Ovis aries: one gene and its partner. The protein of the gene in region 1 interacts with the protein of each later gene in a pairwise test. Links are inferred from orthologs where the notes say so. Each region holds a gene or a part of one and is shown in the gene's direction. Other genes may lie near its edges.

What was found. The genes of interacting proteins can lie anywhere in the genome.
Region 2: the proteins of CBY2 (region 1) and METTL17 interact in binary tests that used the Homo sapiens proteins (3 or more experiments, as listed by UniProt). The link is inferred for Ovis aries from reciprocal best matches to the Homo sapiens genes CBY2 and METTL17.

What each region holds. Positions count from the first base shown.
Region 1 is NC_056063.1:16,145,749-16,150,000, forward strand, and holds the start of CBY2 (protein chibby homolog 2), read left to right. Parts: upstream 1-1,444; coding exon 1,445-1,498; intron 1,499-4,252.
Region 2 is NC_056060.1:24,452,298-24,456,461, reverse strand, and holds the start of METTL17 (methyltransferase-like protein 17, mitochondrial), read left to right. Parts: upstream 1-1,362; 5' UTR 1,363-1,393; coding exon 1,394-1,474; intron 1,475-1,618; coding exon 1,619-1,772; intron 1,773-1,858; coding exon 1,859-1,993; intron 1,994-2,670; coding exon 2,671-2,749; intron 2,750-3,003; coding exon 3,004-3,085; intron 3,086-3,398; coding exon 3,399-3,472; intron 3,473-3,930; coding exon 3,931-4,025; intron 4,026-4,164. UniProt on the Homo sapiens protein: Mitochondrial ribosome (mitoribosome) assembly factor. Binds at the interface of the head and body domains of the mitochondrial small ribosomal subunit (mt-SSU), occluding the mRNA channel and preventing compaction of the head domain towards the body.

The sequences.
Region 1 (4,252 bases):
AACAGGGGTCCAGTGTCTGGGCTATTGTGTGTCACACCGACCCTGACCGGCCACGTGGACACAACCAGATGCCTGGCCAGCAGGCCCCTCATTCCCACCTGTGATGCTCAGAGAGAGACCATGAGCCTTGAAAAAGACCGTATTGTTTTGTGATGTCACCTCTGGAATGTTCTGAGTGTTTTGGTGACCAACTTCTGCACAGGACCTATACCTGGCACCTAACGTTGGTATGGCTTTTTCCTTGAGCTAGAAATAGTAATCTTAGGAAAGCTAGTAGCTAAAGACTTTCAGAAGGCTTTGTCATCAACTATATAGACCTGTCTTAATTTCTGTTCAGAGATTGATGAAGCATCTTATCAGATACCATCTTCACATTCTCGTAAGGTACATAATTAACAGGAGGGGAGAAGTGAATAGTAGGAAGTCCTGTTTTGCAGTTGAGCAGCTGAGGCTCAGACGATGGGCTGGAAAACAGAAATCTGCCTATTTTCTCTTTTCCACAGCACTCGAGGCCAAATTTTACAAGAAAAAGAGATACCAGATCTGAAAGCCTAGAAATTCCCATCAATGTGGTTCTACCTCAGGTAGGGATGAACACTGAAGGCTGTAACCTCTCAGTTTTGGCCAGAATAATCCCCCTCTTTCCAAGCTCTAGCAAGATACTGCAGGTCAGTGGTAGCCAGGGCCTCAGATTCTAGCTGAAGGTCAGCTGCCAGCCAGCTGTGTGCCAGGGGCAGTCCACTTAGTCACTTGGAGTCTTGGGTTTCCGGTCAGATGAGAGGGTGGGTTCATTGATCTGGTAAGACCATCCAGCCCGACCACTAGAAGTTTCTGTGACAATCTTTTCAAAATTAGAGCGTTTGGAGCTTCTTTACCACCAGGGGGCACTAGTGGTAAAGAAACCGCCTGCCAATGCAAAAGACGCAAGAGACCCGGGTTCGATCCCTGGGTGGGGAAGATCCCCTGGAGGAGGAAATGGCAACCCACTCCAGAATTCTTGCCTGGAGAATCCCACGGACAGAGGAGCCTAACGGGCTACAGTCCAGAGGGTTGCAGAGTCGGACACGACTGAAGCGACTTAGCACACACCCACATTGTGCACTACTCTGGACTTCTGGGTAGAGGATTAGAACTGAGACTTGGGATCAAGGGCACAGGCCCGAACCCATACACCTGGGACATGGACCGAGGGGTCTGGGCTCCTGTGGAGGGGTCAGGAGAATTAGGGCCTGCCGTGTACCAGGGACAGAGCGTAAGGGGGATGAGCCTGGGGGGGTCAGAATGGAGGCCAGCGCACGGGCGACAGGCTGGACATTCTCAGTTCTCCTTCTGCTAAGCAGCCGTTTCCCGGGAGGGGTCCTCCTGATTGGATTGTTTCTGCTGCTATGTCACAAAGGGGGCAGCCTTGCTTCTCCAGAGTCACCTAAGGCCCTGGGGGAAGATCATGGCGGTGCAACCAGAGGGGCTGAAATGTAGGGTGGAGGAATCCAACGCAGAGGTAACGATCTGAAAGCTCTGTCCAGGGATGTGTGGGGAGAGGGTTGACTCCCCAGTGGGGTCTTGGAGGCATGAAATTAGAGTTCAACCTGCTGCCTGTGCCACACACGGGCAGATGAGCGTCCAGGGTACTCTGGAGGCGCACAAGTCCTGAGTCAGGCTCCAGACCCCTGCCAGGATGGGCTGGGCACACTCTGGGGGAAGCGTGCTCAGTCGCACCCGACTCTTTGCCACCCCGTGGACTGTGGCCCCGCCAGGCTCCTCTGTCCATGGGATTCTCCAGGCAAGAGTACTGGAGTGGGTTGCCATTTCCTTCTCTCTGGGGATAAAGGGGCACCTCTGCGTTTAGATGATCTGAGCGGGCTGTGAGAGGGACCAGTGTGCCGACTGGACCTCCCCAAAGGAGAGGCTGACGGCTGGTGGCAGGGGAAGGGTTGATCTGGGTCACACGGGGAAGAAAGGAGAGTGACTGCGCACTGGATTGGTCACATCGGGGCCCTGGGCCATGCAGAGCGAGGGAGAGATTGCAAAGGACCGGGAACTGGGAACCTCAGCAAGTCCACTAGTAATGGCGGAGCTGGAGTTAGAGGCTTGAAGCCAGGTCAGTGCCCACGTCCTCTGCCACAAGCTGGGCACATGCCGCCTGCTTCTTCCCTGGCTTTTAGGACAGGGTGCCTCCCCACCCCCCATCTTAACTGCCAAGCCCCTGCACGAATCTGCCACATTCTGCTCCGTTCTGGTTCTGAGACTGAGTCCATTTGTTTTGAGAAGAAATTGCAGGAGCAGCTCTGTGTCTCCAGAAAGTGCCTCTGCACCCCCCCAGCTCCCAACCCTGCCTGAACGCTTCTCATTTGCATTGCGAATGTCTGTGATTCTCTATTTGTTATCACCCTTAGGTCTTTTCGGGTCTTATTGATTTCCAGTTTTCCTTCCTCACAGTAAATATTTGTGTTTTCTAATCTGTTTCTCTCCAGGGCATTAACTTGCCAGCCTTCCCTAGTTACTTCCTTCCCAAGTTCTCTGCACGCCGCCCCTCCACCTCCCTTGCCCCCCCCCCCCCCCTTGCCCCCCCCACCTCCCTTGCCCCCGCCCCCCCCCCATTCCTTTTCTACCTACCGGTTCTCCCCAGCACTCCCATTTTCCCAGTGAGCACTCTCTGTGAATCTCATAAAGGCACTGTTTCCTGCGAGATTGTTAATGAAGGCTCCTCACCAGGTCAGAATAGGGTCCCATCACCCCTCCAGGGCCCCGCCTTGTCCCTCTCTGTTGCCTTTTTTCAATCCCCTTTGTTTGGGTTTGTTCTTTGGAAGCTATGGAATCTGTGGCCGACAATGCCTGTAGCTCTGCCAGTTTGAAAAAGTGTTAGGAGGATTTCGGAAGATTCTGTGTTAAACAATTAGCTAAAACTACCACATACGATGAGAGAGGACATCTTTAGCCTCTTTGCTGTTAGTATTAGGATTCTATCCAAATCAATTACATTGACCTGCAAATTATCCTCTTATCTGTTAGCGTTTATTAAAACCAACATTGACTTTCTCATGGCACTTGGGAGCGGAGTTGATTTAAGCATATGCTCGTGATACTCAGCCTTGTCACCTGGTCTGAAAATTAGTGGCAGATCTGGAGAATCCTAGGGACAGAGGAGCCTGGTGGGCTGCCATCTATGGGGTTGCACAGAGTTGGACACGACTGAAGTGACTTAGCAGCAGTAGCAGCAGCAGCAGCTGCCTTTCCTTCCAGCATATTCTGGGTCTCAGCTTCCCCAGGCTTGAAACGTAACCCCAGAGGGCTGAATATTCTCTGACCATAACCCTCAGTAATGCTGGCAAAAGCAGGGCTTTAAAAACACTTGGTCAACAGACTTGGAGTCTGCTGAGGGCATTTGGACGTCTCTTCTGGTCTGTGGAAGTGCAGAGAATCTCAGTGCCTGGCAACTAAACTGGCAAGTCACTGTCCAGTTCTGTTCCCCAACGCTTCAGATGGGAGGCCAGCAACCTCAAAAGCTCCATCCCCGAAGGTCCTATTCCTTAGATACCCCTTAGCTTCAGAAAGATGCTTTGGTCTTATTACCTCCCCTCTGCCCTTAGCCCTACCCCCGTTTCTAGCCACCATCCCTCCTGTGTGGGCTCCATTTGCCACACAAAAGGCTGGTGATCTGACCGAAGCATGCAGTTGGTTATCTCATACACTTTCCTTCCAGTACCACGTGTATTTTAAAAACGGATGCTGGGGAGAAGGATGAAGAGTGAAGAGTGAAAGTGTTAGTCGCTCAGTCACGTTTGCTACTCGGCAGCCCCACGGACTGTAGCCCGCCAGGCTCCTCTGTCCATGGGATTGTCCGGGCAAGACTACTGGAGTGGGCTGCCATTCCCTTCTCCAGGGGATCTTCCGGACCCAGGGATGGAACCAGGGTCTCCTGCATTGCAGGCAGACTGAGCCACCAGGGAGGCCCAGGGCTGATGCTGAGGATGGAGCTCAGCCACAGGTGGGATTCAGGCATCTGAGCGGGAGCTCTCGGGACCCAGGGCCCTTCCTGCGTCCTTAGCACTGATGCAGCTTCTTTAGGTCACAGCCGGGAGCACTTTGCTCCCGAGAGCAGCATCTCTGGGTCACCTTCCTAACAAAGCCACGGCCACACGTCTCCCCTCCTGCTTCCTTCCTGTATCCCGTTCTTCCATGAAGAAGCCCCCCGCTTCTCCTCTCCCACCTATGAGGGCATGTCCTACATGTCAAGGAAGAAACTGTCCTTTCT
Region 2 (4,164 bases), on another chromosome or scaffold:
TTCTAGATATGAGAAAATGCAAAAATTGGGCTCATAAAAATAATCTCCTGAAAATAAATGGACTTTTCTGGCAGTTTTTCCCAGAGCACAAAGTGCCTCATTCCTGATCTCCACCCTGAAATCCTTTCAGAGGATGCTACAGGTCAGCAGCTACAGCAGGTCATCATTTAATCCTCATAGATGTAGATGGCGGTGGTGGTTTAGTTGCTAAGTCGTGTCTGACTCTTGCAACCCCATGGACAGTAGCCTCCCAGGCTTCTCTGTCCATGGGATTCTCCAGGCAAGAATACTGGAGTGGGTTGCCATTCCCTTCTCCAAGGTATCTTCCCAACCCAGGAATCGAGCCCAGGTCTCCTGCATTGCAGGCAGATTCTTTACCAACTGAGCTACCAGGGAAGCCCCCAGATAGAAAGTACCAATTTGTCATCAGCACTTGACAAATTGGCACTTGCTAACTTGCATTCTATGTACCAATACTACCAGCAGAGCATATGTTTAAAGGTGAAGATCAGACTTAGATTGCCAAGGTTTAGAACTTGTTCTCACCTAACAAGCTCTTGGATCTCAAGCGGAATATTTAGCCACCTGAACTTTCACTTTCCTTGGGTGCAAAATCTATCCTTTAGAAGTATGGGGACTAAATAAGGTAGTACCATATAACAGCGCTTGCCACACTACCTGTCACATAAGGTTCTCATGGTAGCTATTTACCTGGCTTAAAAGTACTGGTTTAATATTAAGAGAAACTAACAAGTAAGAAACATTAAATCTATTATCTATTATTCCATCAATTTGGTCGCCTAAATCTGGCTTCCCTTGATCATCTTCCCATTACTGCAGTCTCTCCTGGAGAAGGAAATGGCAACCCACTCCAGTACTCTTGCCTGGAGAATCCCATGGAGGGAGGAGCCTGGTAGGCTACAGTCCATGGGGTCGCAAAGAGTCGGACACGACTGAGCGACTATACTTTACTCCATTTCACACAGGAGGTAAAAACTCTAAGACTTCAGTGTTCTCCAGAAGGTGAAAGAAAGAACACTGGTAGTTAATACAAACACAAATCCTTCGCCGTCCTGTGACGCGTTTCTGGCGAACCCAGCATAGGGTCAGCCCATACCTACCTAACCCCGCCCCTCCAATTTCTGGAGGCGGAGACAAATCACAACGCAGGGTGGAAGTCACCTAGCTTCCGGCTAGCTACGCTGGAATTGAGGTGCACAAACGGCCTCCAAGGCGATTTACAGATCGATTGTTTATTGGCTACTAGCAAGCACTCGCTCTCCGCATTGGCTGTTACTGCCCGGCGCCAATGTTCGCGCAGGATGTTCGCTGCAGCTAGTGAGAGTGACAGACACTGCACCTAAATTTCCGGTTCCGGTTCACCGCTGGCGCCATGGCGACCGTTAGAGGGTCGCGGTATCTGCTGACAATAGGCAGATGGCGCCGCAGCTTTGGAATAGCGCCCCAGTTCCGAGTGAGTACCTATTTTCCCTGCTTTCAAAAGAAGCTTTGGACCTCAAGAACAGCTCCTCTCCGAGGAGGTGCGCTTTCGGCAGCTCCTCCTTTAGCCTCCCGCAGCCATCCTCTGTGCCCCCTATTAGCTTTCCTTTTTCTGCAGGCGCTTGCTGCCCTCGTGCCCGGCGTATCCCACGTGGATAACAAGTCCGATTTCCTGGGGAAGAGGCCCCATCGCCGGCACCCTGGCATCCTGCAGCTGTCATGCGTGCGGCTGCCGCAAGGATTGGCTGAAGCCGCGCAGTTACTGCTGCTAGGTGAGTAAAGATGGGAAATGGAAGCTCAAGAAGCGAAGATTGGACCCTGCGTACAAGTGATTCCTCTTTGCATCTTTGGTCCATAGAGAGCTCGATGCCCAATATGGAGAAACAGGTGCAAGCCCTAACCAATTATCTCTGGAGCCGGCATTTACCTGTAGAGCCAGAGGAGCTACAAAGACGGGCTGTTCTTCTTGAGAAAAAAATCCTGGAAAACGCAGGTAGGTCTTTTCAAAAATAAAGAGTAAGCCAAATAGAAAGAGCAGAGGGAAATGAAGAGCTAGTAATAATTCTGCAGCCTCTTAAATAGATACTGCGATTTCTTATTTGACTTTCTAATCAGAGTAGTTATTCATAATGTTGCCTTTCTAAAAGAAGAAAAGTAATTTCAGAGATTGCCTATTAAATTCAGGGCTTTAGTAAAGATCAATGAGTTATTCCCTGACTTCTTGTAGTACCTGGTTTGTAGTAGGCACTCCGTAGGTAAAATAGTACTGAAGTGAACACAATTGTAAGACAAGTTTTTCAAGCCCCTTTCCTTCCTATAGGAACTTTGGAGACATCACATTATTAAATTGGGGGGAAGTGAAGAAATCTACAAAGTACTGTCTATCCTATCCTTTAACTTTTTATTACACTTGCTTTTAATACAGAACAAAACCTGTGAGATAGAGTTGGTTGAATTGAATGAATTGCTGTTAGAGGCAATATATTATCTGATATACTATGGTGGTGGTGGTCATTATTATTCTTACCTGAAACTCTTCTCTAGTTTGGCTTCTCTCTTAAGCATTTTCCATGTGGGAATTGGTAGGGAATGGCAGGCAGTAAATTCAGATATTGTATCTGAGCCCTGTTCTTCCTAGGTCCTTACTTCCAGTGCTTGTTCTTACCCCAGACTCATGTCAGACAGAGAAACATCATGAAGAAGTCCTGCGTGCCTTGCGCAGAACTACCTATCATTGGCAAGAATTGAGGTAAGGGAGACTAGAAGGGCTGCAGAAGAAGGAAAAGTTTGGCTTTTGAGAAGGAGAGTTGGGGAAATACAATTACACCATTTAGTGTGTGAAAAGGCAATCTGGTTTATAAGCCTCCCTAAGACTTGTCTGTGTTGATCAGTGAAAGGGTTGAGCTGGAAGAGCCCTTTGCAAAGATTTCATTTCCTAAAAGTCTGGAGGGTAGCTGCAGGATAGAGATTAATTCCCAGTGGTATGTCTGATTTTTCTGGCAGCTACAATGAGGGACTGAGCCTGGTGTATATGGCAGCAAGACTGGATGGTGGCTTTGCAGCAGTTTCCAGAGCTTTCCATGAGGTGAAATTCCCTCAACTTCCAACCAGAAACTTTACTATCAGTTCCCTTTTTCATAAAGTAATCTGGGGCAAGATTCTTGGGACATTACATGTGCATTTTTTTCGAGAGGTTGTCTTTATCCTCTGAAAGGAATTTTTGACCCAAAAAAAGGTTTAGAATCACTGTTCTAAGACCTTTCTATTCTATAAGGCATTTACACTGAATCTTGACATTCACAGCTCATTTCCTCTGTTGCGGTCCCCTAATTCATGTTTACCAAGACCCTAAATAAGTGTCTGTCTTCCCCACTGTGGGGTATTGAATATTTCTTCAGATCCAAGCTCGCCTTCCAGACTTCCAGCCACAAACCTTGATGGACTTTGGCTCGGGTACTGGCTCTGTCACCTGGTGAGTATCTTTCTCTGTCTCTGTCAGTTCCAACTCTAGAGAGTTAGAGCTAGCTTATGCCACGTCAATATCAAGACACTGGAGAACCAAAGGAAGAAGAGAAAATTGGAACTGATGTGTTTCTTCCCTCAGATTAGACAAGGCATGAGAAGGTATATAAATTAGGGTCAGAACTTAAAGAAATGTCAAGTGAAAAAACCCACATTTAGAAGGATAAAAAAGGAAAGGAATTTGATCTCGGACAGGGATTTACATGTCAGCAAGATTTTTGTGTGTGTGTTCATATAGTTTTTGAGTCTTCTTAACAGTTGTAGATGAAACAAGAAAATAAGATTGCTAGTTTTTCCAACTATTTTAACATAGCGCTCTGTTTCCTCAAGGTTGGGTTAGGGACAGAGGGGTCTCTTGTAGGAATAACTTTGTCGTAAGAACTGAAGATTTATTTTTTGCCACTTTAGGGCTGCTCATAGTACTTGGGGTCAGAGCCTACGTGAGTATATGTGCGTGGACAGCTCAGCTGCCATGTTGGAATTGGCAGAAAAGCTGCTGAAAGGTGAGGACAAAATGTAAGGAAGGGCTTTTCCAAAGTTGAAGGCATTTGCAAAGCAAAGGAGTACCAGAAAGGGTCTTTTACTGGGGAGTAGAGGAGAGGCCGGAAAGTTAAAGATGGGTCTGATGCGATGACCCTGTTG